2 linked regions of the Caenorhabditis elegans genome follow. The protein of the gene in region 1 purifies or fractionates together with the protein of each later gene. This does not show direct contact. Each region holds a gene or a part of one and is shown on either strand. Other genes may lie near its edges.

Region 1 (6,747 bases):
TGAATTTTTTTTTCCAAAAATTTCTACTTTGTTAGTTTTTTTAGTTCAAAAACCCTCACTAGCACATCTAACCTCACCTACCCGAATTAGCTCTTGACCCAAAATTCAAGTTAAATCTCATTTTATTTTATTTTTTCAGACATTTCATCGTCGGAAGATGTTCCGCTTTATAATGGAAATATTTACGATCCGGAAAGAGATTCAAAAAGTTTTCGAATTTTGTTAGTTGGTGATACAGGAGGTATAAAATGATTTTAGAAAAAAGTGTATCTCTAGTAATTCAGGAATTCCAATATTGGAGACGACTTGGGCACAAAATGAAGTCAAACAGACAATGGCATCATTAGCAGATGAACATAGTGTTCAAATGATATTAAATATGGGTGATAACATATATTTTACGGGACCCACTGATGAATTTGATCCAAGATTCGAGGTTTGTACTTTTTTTTAACCCAAAATTTTAGTAAATCCCTCTAAATTTAAAATATTTCAGTCACGTTTCGAAAATGTCTACACGAATCCGAGTCTACAAGTTCCATGGCTCACAATAGCCGGAAATCATGATCATTTTGGAAATGTGACCGCCGAGATTGAATATACAAAACATAGTAAAAAGTGGTATTTTCCATCACTTTACTATAAGAAATCAGTAGAATTCAATGGTACTTCTATCGATTTTTTAATGATTGATACAATTTCCTTATGTGGAAATACAAAGGATATTCAAAATGCTGGTTTTATTGAAATGTTACGTAATGAATCACATGATCCACGTGGTCCTGTTAATATAACTGCCGCTGAAGAACAATGGGCATGGTTGGAGAATAACTTAGAAGCAAGCAGGTTAGGAATTTTGGATTTTTTCAAAAAATGACCTCGCCACGACCTTTTTGTAAAATAAAAACAGGTATGCACCTTTAAAGTACTGTAATTTTTAACTCTTGTTGCGGAATTTTCATCTATTTTTAAATTGTTATATTCAAGATTAAAAAAAAAGGCGCACATTTTTGCATTCAACAAAATTTAGTCGTGCCGAGACCGTGCATCTTATGCCTGGCCCAGAAATCGGAAGATTTCGCTTCTGGGTAATGGAAATTTATTTTAAAAATCCTCTTTCAGTGCCCAATACCTAATAATTTCTGGTCATTATCCTGTTCATTCTATGTCATCACATGGTCCAACTGACTGTTTACGTCAACGTTTGGATCCACTTTTAAAACGATTTAATGTGAATGCTTACTTCTCAGGACACGACCATTCGTTGCAGGTTTACCTTAGTAATTTTAATTCAAATTACTTTATAAATGTTTCAGCATTTCACTTTTCCCGGGTATGGAGAGCATATAATTAACTATGTTGTGTCTGGAGCAGCTTCTCGAGCAGATGCATCAACGAAGCATATTAAAGAATTCAGTAGGGATACGTTGAAGTTCAAGTGAAGATTGAAAGCATTAAAAAGTAATTTCAACAAACTTTCAGTTATCCGGAAAAATCATGGTTCTCGTGGTCACCAGTTTCGCAGCTCGGATTCCGTAAAGGCGGCTTAATATATGCAGAATTTGGACATTACAATGCTCGACTCGATTTCTTTGACAAAAGAGGAAAACAGCTTTATTCGACGATCATCCCCACACGTGTGATCCCGACGGATACATCGACACGATCAACTGCCTCACCGTTTGTAGAAATAGGAATGTAATTAATTATTTAAGCAGTTGAAATTCAATTTTTTGAATATTTATTGAACTCCCTCATAATTTCATGTATAATATATCTTGAACGGGTTGAAAATAAAAATTTTATTTATTTGTTGGGCTCTAAATTGTAATATTTAAATTATTTTTTGAGCTCCGCCACCTTTTTAAAGGTTATTCAGCGTACTTCGTTAAATTATATTTCCGGAAAATAAATTCTCTGCGTCTCTTAAGCTGTATGCAAACGCGCTCTGAAAGGCAAAAGCGAGAGAGGAGAGGCAGCAGAGAAACGAGCGCCATTTTCAATACTTCACAGGATTTACGAACAAAATGTTCTTTTTTTTGTTAAAATTTCAAAGTGTAACGTTTTTTAATCATACAAACATTTACTAACAATATTCCTATCGAATTTGAAAACTTTGTAACATTAGAAAAACAAAAATTCTACTGTTTCGTAACAATGTCTCATTTTAATCAAAGACTAAAGTTTTCTCAACATTTGAAAAAGAATTTAAGTAAATTTTCTTTCGATTTTTCAGCTATATACGGTTTTCAAACTTTAAGTTCAATAATACAAAATCAAATGATTGATTTTTAAAAAAATTGAAACTGAACGTTCAGCTTGAAACAGCGTTGGAAATTTAAGGATGTGCTAAAAAAGCAAATCAATAAAGAAACTTATTTTTGTCTCTTTTCTCTATTTTCTAAAACTTCTCACTAAAGGTAACTTTCCAAAGTTAGATTTTCAGAATGTACAATCCACCACCTGGAGGCGGCGGTGGCAACAATGGAGGAGATCAATCTCAACAACAACCTACAAATAATGCGACGTTGTTTTTATTACAAATGATTCAACAATCACAACATCAACAACAGCATCAGAATCAACAACAACAACAACTGGAACTTCAAATACGTGATCAAGAGCGTATTTTGATAGAACAACAAAGAATGCAACATCAACAACAACAAAATCAACTTCTTCAAGGACTCAATCAATTTCCATTTAATCCTTTAGGATTATTTCAAGTACAAGCTGCTGTTCAAGCAGCTCAGGCACAATTTGCACAAAATGCTCAAGGTTCTCCAATTCCTTTTCATATCGGTTCTCCACTTCAACCATCACATTCACCAGCAGCTTCTGCTCTTCAGCAACAATATCTACTACCATCTCATTCACCGGCAATAACCCCATTTGCTAGAAATAGTGAAGCTGCAAGAAATATTGAACAATTTATTGCACAGGAAGAGGCTGCAAATGTACCAAGGGCCAACAGTCAACAACAATCTCCATTGATTCGTCCGATTCCACAGCAACAAGCTTTGAATATTCAAAATCTCACATCGACTCAACAGGCACAACAAATCCTGGCCCATCATCGTCAGGTTCCCGTTCAACAAGTACAGCATCAGCAGCATATTCCCGTAAATATTTATTTGATTGAAAATTAAAAAATGTCTGAAAATTGGAAGGTCTGAACCTTTCTTTATAGAAAATTATATTTTAAAAAGTTAGAAAGTACTGTAGCGCCAAACAATTTGTCCTTCATTTCTGCTTTCCCGAAATTCGCAAACCTAATATTTCTCAATTGAGCTCAAAAAATAACAGAATTACTTTTGTTTTTCAGCATTTCGTAAGTTTTTTGAAGAAAATGTGTAAAAATTTGAAGTTTAAGACTGTTTTCAAATATTAGATGATGATATTTTATCAATGAAATGCATGTCTGAACTAAAAAAATTTATAGCAATTGACAATTTTATATTTACGTCAATTTAACAATTCATTCCGAAAACCAATAAATCTATTTTTCAGACTCCTCCACTAGCCCTTCCAATTGCTCAACAAGGACCAATTTCTAATGAAGTTCCTTCAGTTCCTCCAGTTGTTCCAGCAACTTCTGCAGGGTGTCCTCAACGTGAGCCTCGTCAACAACAAGGTGGCCGACGACAAAATCGTCCAGGTCGTCGAAAGAAACCAGAAGGTCCACCACGTGTTGATGAAGCTCTCGCCTATCTGAGAGTTATTAAAAGTACTTTCTCATCTGATGTACCCGTTTATCATCGATTTTTGGAAATTATGAAGGATTTTCGTGCTCAGAGGTAATTCTGAAAATTTGAATTTTATTTTTGAAGGTTGAAAATCAAAAAAAATTGTTTTGGTTTTTCCGGGAAAACAAATATTCTTAGATTTACAAAAAACTTTAAAAAAACATTTGTTTTGTTCAAACATAAGATAACATAATTTACTTGAAAAGGCAAAAAATTTCAAGCTATCTTCCGAAATATCGTAAAACCGACACATTTGATGCGGATTAAATTTTGCTTTATTTAAATCCAAAAAAAAAAACAAATATCTGTCTTTTTTGCAGAATTGAAACACCTGATGTGATTGAACAAGTAGCAGAACTTTTATATGATTCACCGGAACTTGTTCTTGGATTCAATACTTTTCTGCCAACTGGATATCGTATCACATTGACTCCAGATCGAAAATATGTTTTTTCTTCGCCACAAATGCAGCCAAGGGTTCGTTTGGATATTTAGATTATACTAAAAATCTGATTTGAAAATAGTTTTAAAAATCCAATATCCACACAATATTGTTTTGCCTCGAAATTAAATTACAAAAAATTTGAAGGTTCTGCTATCGCCTGACGAACGCCGAGCCCGTGCAATTGAAGCTGGAGCACAAGCTGTAGGAGCAATTGAGTTGGGTTCTCAAGAAGGAATATCAAAAGACGAAGACCGTACAATTGAAGATGAAGATATGGATAAAAGTAAAGAAAAAGATGATGTAGATGGAATTGATGATGAAGATGATGAAGAATCTGGAATAGAAGATAAAAATAATGAAGAAATGATGGAAGAAGATAATCATTTGATTGAAGAAATTATTTGTGATGATAGAAAGAAGGATGATTGTGAAGATTCACAACAAGAGGTTTGTGTTGTTTGTTTGAAAACAAAAAACTTGAAGGTTTTTAAAATATTTGATTTTAAACATATCTGAAATCTTCTTTGATAAATTTTAAAAAAATACATACCAACGTTTTCAGATTTTTCTTCAAAAATAAAAATCTTCTAAAATTTTTACTTTTCTGTATTGCCTTCACTGATAGTTGCTGGTTTTCCCAGTTCTTCAACGATGGGCGATTCTCTTGCTCGTTTGAGCTCTATATCTTTCTTTGTCCTGGAGTGTTTACTGTAGCGAAACATTGTTGTCTTTTCAGTACATTTTCTTAGCTATTTATTATTGTATATCAAACTTCTGCCTTCACAAGCCATAATTGATCTAGAAAACATGTAAGTGCCATGTGAAAAATTTAAAAATCGTTTTCAGATCGAAATGTCAAGTGAATTGGCTGCTCATACACTGAACATAATCGAACTTCTCAAAAAATCGTTTCTGGCTCGCCCGACGAAACTTGTTGATTTCATGACGTTCATTGACTTCTTCATGAGTGATCAACAATATAAAAAAGATATGGAAAAATTGAGAAAAGATGATGAGGATGACGAGATTGAAGAAAATGAGAAAATCGAAGTTGATGATGTTCCAGGACCATCCAATGCACCACAAGAAATCAAAAAACCTGATGATATTGAGAAAAAAGATTCATCGAAAAATCTGCAAATTGAGGAATCGTGCTCAGATTATCTTGTCTCAATGCTTGCTAATTGTTGTATTGGAGAACCTGATCTTCTTGCAGCAACTATTGATTTTCTTCCATATCTTGGGAAACTTCTTGTTAATGGATCTGATGCGATAGCATTGGTGAGATAATGTATCCTATATATGATTTTTCATAATAATTAAAAAATATTCTGAAATTCCGAAATACCAAATGAAACACGAAAAAGCGAGGAATAATGAAAAACCACAACTTTCCAAATTCAAGAATTTTTCGTTTTTTTGCATGATTTTTGAATTTCAGAATATTTGCAGTATTCTATAGAAAATTTCCCATTCACGAAATTGCGAAAATTTAAAATTTAAAATAGAAATATCTAAAACAATTCAAGTGAACTATCTAATTTAATTTTCAGTTTTTAATATTTAAATATATTTTGAAATAATTAATTAGAAAAGTAGACTTGATATTTGTTCATCGTCGAAAAATATCATAGATCAAAAAAAAATCTCAATAATCATGCAATTTGCCCTTGATCTACCAACCAGTTTTTGTAAACAAAACGCCTTTTTCGTTTTTGAAAAAAAAAACTATCATTGCAAATCAATATTTTTAAACCTTTTTTCTTTTCCAGAAAATCAAAACAATTCTCCATTTCTCCGCCACCAACGATCGTAACGATATTCCACCTGTAAATCGTGTAAATCCATCCGATGTCGACATGGATTTAGTGAAACAAATGGAAAAATGCAAAATGGGGACTAAAAAGGTTTGCTACTCCTTTTAAAATTAAATAAAATGATTAAAAATTTCAGAATGAAAAACTGAAACTAAAAGTTGCTGGGCAAGGCGATGAAGGAGCAACCGTGGAATTGATGATACTCAAGAAATCATACAGAATTCTTTATGAAAGGGTTTGTTTTAACGGTGGAGTAGCGTAAATGGGGATTTCGATTCAAAATCCAAATTTGTCAATAAAATCGCCGAAGACAAAAATATTAACGGTAATCGGCGATCGCCGATCGCCGTGTTAAAAATTATTATCGGAAAAAGTGTAGAAAAATTACGTCACACATGTATTTAAATACTTGAAAACAGGTGTGACGTAATTTTTCTACACTTTTTAATTTTCCAACACTACTTGAATAACCCCATAACCCATTAAAACAAAATCCAATTCAAGCCACTCGCCCTCTAAAAGTTTTTATCATTTTGCTTATTCAATAAACTTTATTTTCAGCTAAAAAGTCGAACAACACCGAATCAACTGTCTCACCTGATGGTTTTGATAAATGCCTACGCAAATTTGGATATAACCCGAGAACAATTGATTAGTGAACTTCCAAAGATCATGGGAACATCTGGTTCTGATCTTGAAATGATTATTCTCCAATTATTGGGTGCAGAAAAAGAACCAA
Region 2 (9,721 bases), 1.5 Mb from region 1:
TTCAATATTCGAAAAAAAAATAATTCAAAAAATCGAGCCCGTAAATCGACACAAGAGCTACAGTAGTCATTTTAAGAATTACTGCAGTTTTCGCTACGAGATATGTTGCGCGGCTCAGAATGTTGTAATCTCGTAATATATAAGTAGTTTCCAATGTTTCTTGCAAGTTTTAGCGTTAAAATTGCATCAATTTCAGAAAATAGCCTTAAGTACACATCGGAATATTATTTGCAAGTTTCATTTTTCAATTTCCTCTTCCATTTCAATATTCTTTAGCAAAAAAAAGGTCGAGTGAACAATAAATAAACTAATTGTAAGGACCGTTTCCCCCTAACATATTGTCCAATTCACTTGATTGAGTATTTCTAAGAAAGGTCAATGACCGAAAAGTAACTGGCAAACTCTCAACTACTGTCATTTTTGGTGCAAACGGTGCAATCTGGCGACATCTGCCACTTCTTAATACGGTCTCTCTCTCTCTTCGCTCCACGATGCTTGATTGATGATGACCACCGGGCTGCTGGTGCTGCCCGAGAGAGCACACAGATTTGAGAGGAGTAGAGATAAATCAGTTTGAAAGAATAGATTGAGGAGAGTGAGGGATAAAAGAAAAAACTATTTGAATAAAGAAGGAATGTATTGAGTTTCTGAACACAAATGTGAATCAATCGGTAATGTGAAAACTAGAAATAAATACGATTTTTTAAAAACTTAAAACCCTTGCTGCATTTGCAATTGTGTCAGCATGATTTGAGCAAGTAGAGCACTTTGATTTCCGAAAAGAGCCGCTTGTGGGGAATACTGAGGGAATGGCACTTGTGGGGCAGTCATTTTGAGAAGAGCCTCCGAGAATCCAGGCATTTGAAGGAGCATTTGAGATGTTGGGGAGCTCTTTTCCGCGGAGCCAGGAGCAACTGGAGCAGCAACAGGTCTTGATGGTGTTGATTGAATCTCTGGGATCACGGATGGAACAGGTGACTCGCATTTAACTTCTTCTTCTTCTTTAATAAGAGTTGGAATATCATCTGATGTTGTTTCAACGTCAACTTCCATCTCGTTCTGAAATAAATTACCGTTAAGATTAAAAGATAAAGTGACTTTGGTAAGTTTTTCAAATCTTCACAACTGCCCATTTCGGATCAAAAATTAATATAGAAAAATGGAAAAATATCTGATTGATTCGGAAATAATCTTCATTTTCTTGGGAAATTTGGAAACTGGAGGAAGTTGTCATTTACCAAAAAACTGTCTTAGAATTTTTTTTCGGTAAAGGACAGTTTGAGAAAGTTTTTCAGGTCTTTAAAGTAATTTTTATGAGCATTTTCCCAAAACTTTTAAATAAAATTATTTTCAGAGAGTACAAATATTCCTCAATTAAAAACTTCTCAGAATCAAATGTTATAAATTATTGTACCTCTTTCTTTGACTCCTCTTCCAATGTAGCAAGTGGTTGTGTTTGAGAGAATTGTTGGAAGAGAGCATCCATCATTTGACTGAAAATTCAATTTTATAGAAACTGTTTATTGAGAATGAAATAGAATACCTTGATGGAATGAGTCCTGCTTGTGCTGCAGCCAACAATTGCTGAGCTGACAATCCAGCTGGAAGTCCAGAAAGTGTCAAGTCAAGTGGACATTCATCAGAAATACTGATTCCCTTAATTGGAGTTTTCGTGCGTTGTGGTGTTGTCTTAATTCCCTTCCGTGCAAGCTTTTCCTGATGGGCAATTGGACAACCAGAGAGACTACGGTGAGATGTTCTATTTCCATTGACATGTCCCTTTCCAGAGCATCCGGCTGTGGTGCATCGGAGCACGGTGTCTTGTCGGAGAGCAAGCACTGCAAACGGGAAAAGTAAGTGAGTGAGTGGGAAAAGTCATCAATCTTTGGCTCTTGCTACTGCTACAAGTATTGGCTTCAAAGTAAGTATGAAATGCATGAGAGCTCATTTATCTTAAGCTCTTTTTACCAGATTAATGAGCTAGTTTACTTGTTGCTCCAAGTTCACAGCCAGCTAAGATTTATGTTTAGTTTCAATTTAAACTTACTTTGGATAACAGTCTTGTCTGGTCTACGTGGACATCCGGACAAACTTCTGTGATGAGTGTAGAGTCCTGTCTGATGTCCTGATCCATCACATCCAGGTGTTGGACAAGCCAGTTTGCCTTCTGAAAGTTGGGACTTAGTACCGCTCCAAATGGAATTTCATGTGATTCGGTGCGAGTGGAGTGGTAAGTGAGGGGATTAGTTTATTTTGTGGTTAGTGCACTCATTTTATCCCTCCCAAATGGATTATTATTTTTTGATATTCTTCGAAAGAAAACTCAGAATGGGGGAATTAGTGGTTAGTAAGTTGGGGTTAGAGATTGATTTTCAACTGAAATATCTTCAGAGGATTACTGTAGGGTCCCAACTTTCTGTTCAAAAAGTCCTTACCACGTCTGATGCTCCATGAGTAACCAGTACCAGGTGATGGAATTGATCCGTTTGGAGTAAATGCAACTGTTGGAGTTGTAGAGATTGAAAGTTCATCACTGATATTTGTATGTGTAATTGGAGACATAACTCGAGATTCTGATCCAGATGAGTGTGGTGGGCTTGAAGCAGTTAATGGAGTCTTTGGAGTATCCGACGATGTCATCATTGGGCTCTGAAAATCGTATTTTTTGGTAAAAAAGATATGAAACGAAGAAAAACAATAATAGTAATCCATCAAAGTTGGCAAGTCTCACTCTTTACTACTACTACTCCTAGTAAGAACAATCGGTGAGGCGGCAGTGTCATTGGTCACGCAATGTCATCCGTTGGGTTCTAAGGTGTTTTGTGTCTGTTTTGACATATAATTAAAGTTGGAAGCCCTTGCGTGACCAGCAACTTGTTATTTCAAGTCATTGCTACCAACTAGGTGGTCCGAGGAGTTGTAAGAAATTTGATCTACCGTACTCGCTTTAACAATTGAATTTAATAGAGTTTCCAAAAGTTCCGTGAATTTTCCTGAGAACTTTCCTAAATCTTATAGAAAATTCCAGAAGTTTTCCTAATTTTCTAAAATCTCCAGAAGATTTTTGAACCTCCTAGAACTTTTCAAACGTTTCTCCAGCTTTTCTTTCTGAAACCTTTCGAAACAGTTTCGACTTTTCAAAGTTGCTCGGTTCTTCCAAGACCTTCCAGATGATTTTTAAAAATTTTTAAAAATTTTCCGGAACTTCCCAAAATTTCCTCGAAGACATGACCCTAATTTTCGTTAAGCTAGGCATTGCAAAACTACCAGTTTCCCTTGAAACTTCTCACTTAAATTTTCAAAATTTTGAAATAATTTCCCAAGTTGAGCTGCCATTCCCAATTTCAATATGTGTCAATGTGAGTTCATAAATATGCAACAAGTCACTTTTCTCTACCGTGTGCCCCCCATTCCCACTTCACTTCTTTTCACTCAAAATGCAAATTTCTTTGGCTTCTCACCTTTGACGACGACGTCTCCTCTGCTGTCACGACACCACCATCCAAAACTGAGTCGACATCGGAAGGTGATGTGTCAGAGTGTGTGGCGCTCATCATATTTCCTGATGTAAAAATTTCAAGCTGTTTTTGGAAGGATGGAGCCATAAATTGCGAGAAGAGGAACGACGGAACTCCTTCGAGGCCACTTGGAACTGATGAGGTGACGACATCTGCGGAGGTGGCGGTCTGAAAGTGAATGGAATGAATGAAGATGTTATCTCAAAGGATCTCAGACAGATGTACAGGCACATGTTCTTCTTCGGAAGCATAAAAAAGTTGTTAGGTAATAGTTCGGAACGATGGAACAGGTGCTCTCTCTAGGCCCTGTCAGCTGTCTTTTGCGTCCTTTTAAGACCATCCAAGGACACATCATATATTTAATTGCCGATTCGATTTCAAAACCGAACACTAAATTTTACTAACCTGTTCAGTTGGTTTCTGTGCATTGTTTGTTGTCGTGTCACAAGTCATATTCTGATCTTCTTCTGTTTCGTTTTCTTTTGTATCTGAAGATGATGGAATCGATGAACACGTGGCAGCAGCGGCTTCGGCTTCTTCGGCAACACGGACAATGTCTTTAGCTGTAATGAGCAAAAGTCATGATGTGAAGGGTAATGATGGAGCGGTAATGTATGGAGTTCTAATGAATAGGTAGAGCAACATGAGGAGATGAGTACAAGAACATCTGTCAACTCGTAAGATTCTGATATTTGAGATGAGAGATGCATTAGCTAAGTAGGGGTAAATCCCAAGAAGAGAAGTTTCAGTAGATCAAGTTCAAATTTCCGAGGCCAGATATTTTTCAGGGAGTTGAAAATTGAAGCTCCTTTGGTCGCCAGCATTTGTTTCATAAAAATTCACTTTTGAATAATTTTCTATTTCGCTACATTTATCAATTTAGGTATGCGGCAGGCGTAGGCCTCAGGTACTGTCAGAAAAGTTTCAGCCAATCCATCATGACTGTCAACTACAGTAATCTACCCATATGCCTCATTTTCCCATTCTACAATTTTCCTAACTCTTCCCTAATCTTTACCACCTTACCACCATATGTCATGTAAATGGTTCCAGATAGAGCGGTGACTAAAGAGAACGCAATGAATGTATAATTAATGATGCAGGACTTCTCCCCTCTGTTAGAGATCACTTGCGGTAAAAAAACTACAATAGAAGTGGGAAGCTTTTGATTGAGAAAAGGAAGTAACCAATGAGCCGAAGCGCGCCCTATGATGTTTTTGAAGTGGACCGCCCGTTTTTCGGAGATGGTCATGATGTAACCAGAAGCAGAGCACAATTCGCACAATTATGGACCGGAAAATGGAAGGAAGTGACAACTTGGCGGTGTCTTTTTGAGATTTTTTAATGAACAGAAGGAAATTTGTTTACATAGCCATTTTGAGGTGTTTTTGATTATGTAACTTATCGACTCACTGTGGCCCATTGTCACCTTTATCAGTAACTTTTTAAAATTAACTTTTGGAGTTAAAAAACCGAAAATTTGTACGAAAAGTGATTCAGTTGGCTAAATATAGCTACTTACTGCCTAGAAAAATCAAATCTCCAAAAAGTGACGCAAAGGTGATACTACAAATCGGTGTGTAAAACATCGACTTATAAGTCAGTTTCTGCCAGCCATCTGCAACCAAAAAAGGTGATATGACAAGAAGTCTTCATTTTTTGATTAGCAATAAAGAAAAAGTTTTGCAGAATGATTGCCCAAAATTACGGTATGGTGCCGTTGAAAAATATATAAAATATATAAAATTCCAGCTAATTGAAGCCGATGCACTTTGTATGGGAGGCATTTTGAATTTCAAAGGAAAGTTTTTAGCAAACAAAAAAACAAAGTGCTGGCGGTCTGTAGAGAACATCTGGCGACAGATGGAGGGGTACTTTTAAGAGGAGACAACTTCTAAGGGGGGAAAGATTTTGGATTTTGGATTTAAAGGTCACGACACTCACTCACTCGAATAGCCGAAATAATTGAATGGTAAAAAGTAAAAAGCGTGTGGCGGCTGTTTAAACTTTAAGCTTACATATTGGTCATTCGTAGAAGCATCTATATCACTGCTGACCATGGAAAAGTACTAGAGCTCCCTGTTTGAGCAGCTGTCGGTGTCTCCCAGTCACACTGTGCTTACGGGGTGGCCATATTTAGATTTTGACCATATAATAGTACTAGTAAATAGTACGAGAAAAAACTATTTGACGAGAAGAGAAAAATTATCTAGAAAGTCTTGTAGGGAGCAAGGAGAAAAAAATAATTTGAAAGTGAAGTTTCTGACTTTGAAATGGCTCTCTTTCTCAAATCTAAGTCAAAACGACTACAACATAATGCGATTTGACGTTGCGACACTAGATCAACCCGGGTTGTAGTTGAAAGAGTTGGAAAATATTGAAAAATCCAAAAACAAATGATGATGACGAGTAGGGTCAGAAGACCCAAATCTTTTCGATCCATTTTATCACAAGAATCAGATGGCAGATGGAGTTGCATTTGCAAAGTTATAGAGAGACAGTGGGGATTACGAGAGGAGAAGAATTGAACAAAGAAGGTTTCCCACGAGAAAAGTTTTACAGGTCAGGAGGAAATCCTCTATTCACTCTTAATTAAACAATTAGTGACACTTTGAAACTAGGCAAATAGCACCTAACCGAAACAATATTAAAACTATTCACACTGGAATTATAAATTAGAACAAATAAGTGCCGACTAGGAGAGAGTTTTACTTTAACAAACTGTATTCCGGGTTTTTTTTTGTTTTATCAAAATGTTTAACTATTAAAATGAAGAGAAATATTTGGCACGTACTTTGCCTGTTGAATAATTTTTAAAAGTTCAAAGATTGAGATAAACGATATAAAAGTAGAGAATTTTAGGGGCAAGTACCGCTTAACCATATGACTACGACTTTCATCGATTCCATCTTAGCTGTTTTTGGTATTATCAAGAAGTGAACGAGTTTTTATTTGTTTTCTATAGTTTACTGGTTGAATTAAATCAAGCTTAGAGTAACCAAGACACATGTAATCAAAAAGATTTTACCTATGAAAATAAAAACTAAATATTTTCCCAAATTTCTCCAGTTATTTTTTTTAATATAAAACACAAAGTATCCGAAATACAAGCTGAGCAACATCTCAAACTTTTCCCAAACTTACATTCTGGCTTCCGGCGTCTCTTCTTATCAGAAGAATCTGAAGCTGTGGAGTCTGGAGATTCAGATCCATCGGAATGAGTATCTGGAGGTGTTGGAAGTGAACCAGAAGATTTCATGAGCAATGACATTAAAACTGCTGGATCAATGGATGAAAAGTCTGGGTTGTTGGAGATTGATGACATTTTGATATAGATAAAGTCCTAAAACATATTTTTTAAATAGTAAGAAGGTACAGAGAAAAAGTTTTCAGCAAACAAGAAAAGTAGCAAGAAAGTGTAGAAGGACCACAGAATGACCACACATAGACACTCAAAGTAAGGAGGGCGGTCTGGAGGAGGACACCATCTGCTTAGCGGCGTGGTGCACCTGGCATCATGCATTGCCCGCGCACATACAGAGACTCCGCCTTCTTTTGGACAGTAATGGGGTTGCGTTCGGGTACCAAGTTAAACCCCAATGGCCCCCGATAATGCTTACGGGGGCAGGTGTGGAAGAGCAGGAAATGAATTATTGGAGATGGGACAGCAGGGATTAGGTAAAGTTAGATGTGCATGGTATTCAGTGGAGAACACTTGATGGGAGGATGGAAAATAATAATAATAGTTTACGTTGCGCGTGTATGGGAGATCAAATCCATCAGATTAGATGGTACAGACAAGACACTTGTAATGCGACACCTGTCTATGGCACTTTTGAATAAAGAGCTATGAATAGTATAGTCTAGATATGGAGTTTTTCAAACTTTTGAAGCTAATTGTATGTATAATAATTTTGAAAATGTGAAAAGTTGTCAATGGACGATACACAATTGTAATTTTTCAGGATTCACTGATAATTTTTGGATTTTGAAACTTTACACAAGTTCACCTAACAAATAGTTTTTTAACAGATATCAAAAAGTAACTAACTACAAAACGGTAGAAAAATGAATAAACATTTTCTTGCCAATTGATAATCTGTTGATATAGCAGAATACAACCTAGCAAAGTTGAAAAATTTAGAAGCAAAACAAATAAAGTCTGAATTTCTAGATTACCCCAGAAAGTAGGTAGTGTACACTTCCAAGTTTGGTAGATCTTCTTCTTGAACAAAATCAATCATAATCCTAAAACATATCTTCACTGTCACTATAGTAACAGTTTCACATTCAAGTGTGAACCGGAAGATTACAGAAATTTGAATGATTATCCTACATTTTGTTTGTTTTGAATGTAACAGAAGATAAGCCAAACTCTGAGGCGGTCAAGAGGAGAACCTAATAAAAGGTGAGGGATCTCGTTTATGACGTGGCAATGTATATTGGTTATGCACACAGAAATAGATACTATTGGGAAGTTATGTAGGTCACTGTATTGACAACAGGCAGACCTAATAGAGTGCAAACTAAACTTATTATTAGATAGAGATCTTACAAGGGTACACAGTTTTTAATTTTAGACCGTTTAACGAAATGTTTTTAAATTTACTTATATGATCGAGAAAAACATTAAAACTGAAATCCCACAAGTATAAGCCGTATTTTCCTACTACGGAAAGAGCAGGTTCTTGAATCATAGGACTTTTAATGGGGAAGATCTACCAAGTTTGGAAGTGTATGCTACCAACTTTTGTTTAGTAACCATCTGGAAAACTAGCCACTCTATCAGACTTGAACCCTAATGCTTAATTTTGACAGATGTTTTTTTTCATCAGAAATTATCAACTAGCACAAATGTAACATTTCTATCTCTACAATTTAGTAATTAACTACTTTTTGTATTTTTAAAATGTAGTGAAATATAGAATGCCAACTTGAAGAGAGAAATACTAATAGAAAAAAGCGCATCATGCTTATCAACCAACTTAACACTTTATATGTGAATTCGCAACTCTAGATAACTCTAGATATCAGTTTTAATTTACATTATTAGAAAAAAAAACATATCTACAAAATACCATGAAAGAAAATAATGGAAGTTACAAAGTGAGCAAAGAGTGTTGTCAAACTACAAGCATGGCCAATTTGTTTCGAAACGATCGTTGAACTTTAATGATGTGATGTATCATGTGTCATTTCCTACTAAATTTTTAAAAAAATCAATCCGAAACACGACTCCCCTAGTAGTAACTGAAAAGAACAAAACGATTAATGATGGTTGGAGAGGGAGACGATGTAAAAACTTAAAGAGTAGAAGACAACTGAGTTGTGCACGGCGGCTTCCTCTAGCCAATAGTTGAGAATTGGAGGCGGAGTCGAAAGAAGAAGTGACGGAGGGCGGAGTTATAGAGGCATACTTTCAACTATTGGGATTTGGAGTTCAGTACTTTGAGATTAATCAAAGTATGTTAAAAGTTTCATATTCAAAAGTGCAGAATAATAAAGTTAATAGTACAGAAAATAGGGACAGATGTTGTACTCATCATTCGAAAAATAAAAAGTTGGTCCAAGGCGGTCGCTTATGGGTTTTGAAGACGCGTGTAAAAGTAGAAATAAAACAAAGAGTATATTGGAATAGAAAAGTGAGTGTTAGTTGTAGAATGCGATATATTTATGAAAATTGAATTAATATGGTGAAGAAGGAAGGCCTCCCGAGCACATACACAAGCGCCAAGATGAATGACGAGATGAATGAGAAAGACCAACTTTTTTTCGCTCCGAAATTGGAAAGAAGTTGAAGTAGAATGAATAAGGGAAAATGGAAGAAGTTTTGAAGAAACTCGAGAGTATAATGAGTTTGAATAAAAGGTAAGTAGACCATGGCTTGTTGAGTGAAGAGGGGTAGATCAAATTTCATATAAATTTCAAGTTACAGGAAGTCCAATGCGGTCCTCAAACTTACTTTAGAAGAAATATATTCTAAAATAAGCATATTTGTTGGTTTTATGTAGCTTCAAAGGTAGCTTGTTGTACCCTACCGCATAGTTAACGGTGTAATTGAACCGGTGGGACTTTCTAATAACCTGGAACATGACCGAATCTCAGTATTGAACACTCCAGAAATTTTCAGTTTGAAAAATTGAACAATTTTGCCGAAAATTTGGACTTATTTCAAAATTTTGAGTTATAGCAAAACTTATGAA

What was found.
Region 2: the proteins of sin-3 (region 1) and ztf-11 purify together in Caenorhabditis elegans (affinity purification with mass spectrometry; 2 studies listed by BioGRID, with this or other methods). This does not show direct contact.

Annotation. Positions count from the first base shown.
Region 1 is NC_003279.8:8,414,385-8,421,131, forward strand, and holds the start of sin-3 (Paired amphipathic helix protein sin-3), read left to right. Parts: upstream 1-2,446; 5' UTR 2,447-2,447; coding exon 2,448-3,122; intron 3,123-3,510; coding exon 3,511-3,797; intron 3,798-4,066; coding exon 4,067-4,223; intron 4,224-4,335; coding exon 4,336-4,638; intron 4,639-5,037; coding exon 5,038-5,472; intron 5,473-5,963; coding exon 5,964-6,098; intron 6,099-6,144; coding exon 6,145-6,243; intron 6,244-6,569; coding exon 6,570-6,747. Other genes in the region: F02E9.7 (Tartrate-resistant acid phosphatase type 5), read left to right, coding at 140-241, 285-436, 497-846, 1,123-1,270, 1,317-1,438, 1,483-1,702. UniProt on the Caenorhabditis elegans protein: Probable transcriptional repressor required for the deposition of dimethylated 'Lys-9' of histone H3 (H3K9me2) on asynapsed chromosome pairs (both autosomes and sex chromosomes) during meiosis, but this does not seem to solely affect the transcriptional status.
Region 2 is NC_003279.8:9,903,685-9,913,405, forward strand, and holds ztf-11 (Zinc finger protein ztf-11), read right to left. Parts: upstream 6,862-9,721; 5' UTR 6,844-6,861; coding exon 6,663-6,843; intron 5,752-6,662; exon of another isoform or gene 5,641-5,751; intron 4,082-5,640; coding exon 3,924-4,081; intron 3,842-3,923; exon of another isoform or gene 3,719-3,841; intron 3,687-3,718; coding exon 3,462-3,686; intron 2,650-3,461; coding exon 2,436-2,649; intron 2,168-2,435; coding exon 2,048-2,167; intron 1,839-2,047; coding exon 1,544-1,838; intron 1,494-1,543; coding exon 1,415-1,493; intron 1,060-1,414; coding exon 712-1,059; 3' UTR 618-711; downstream 1-617.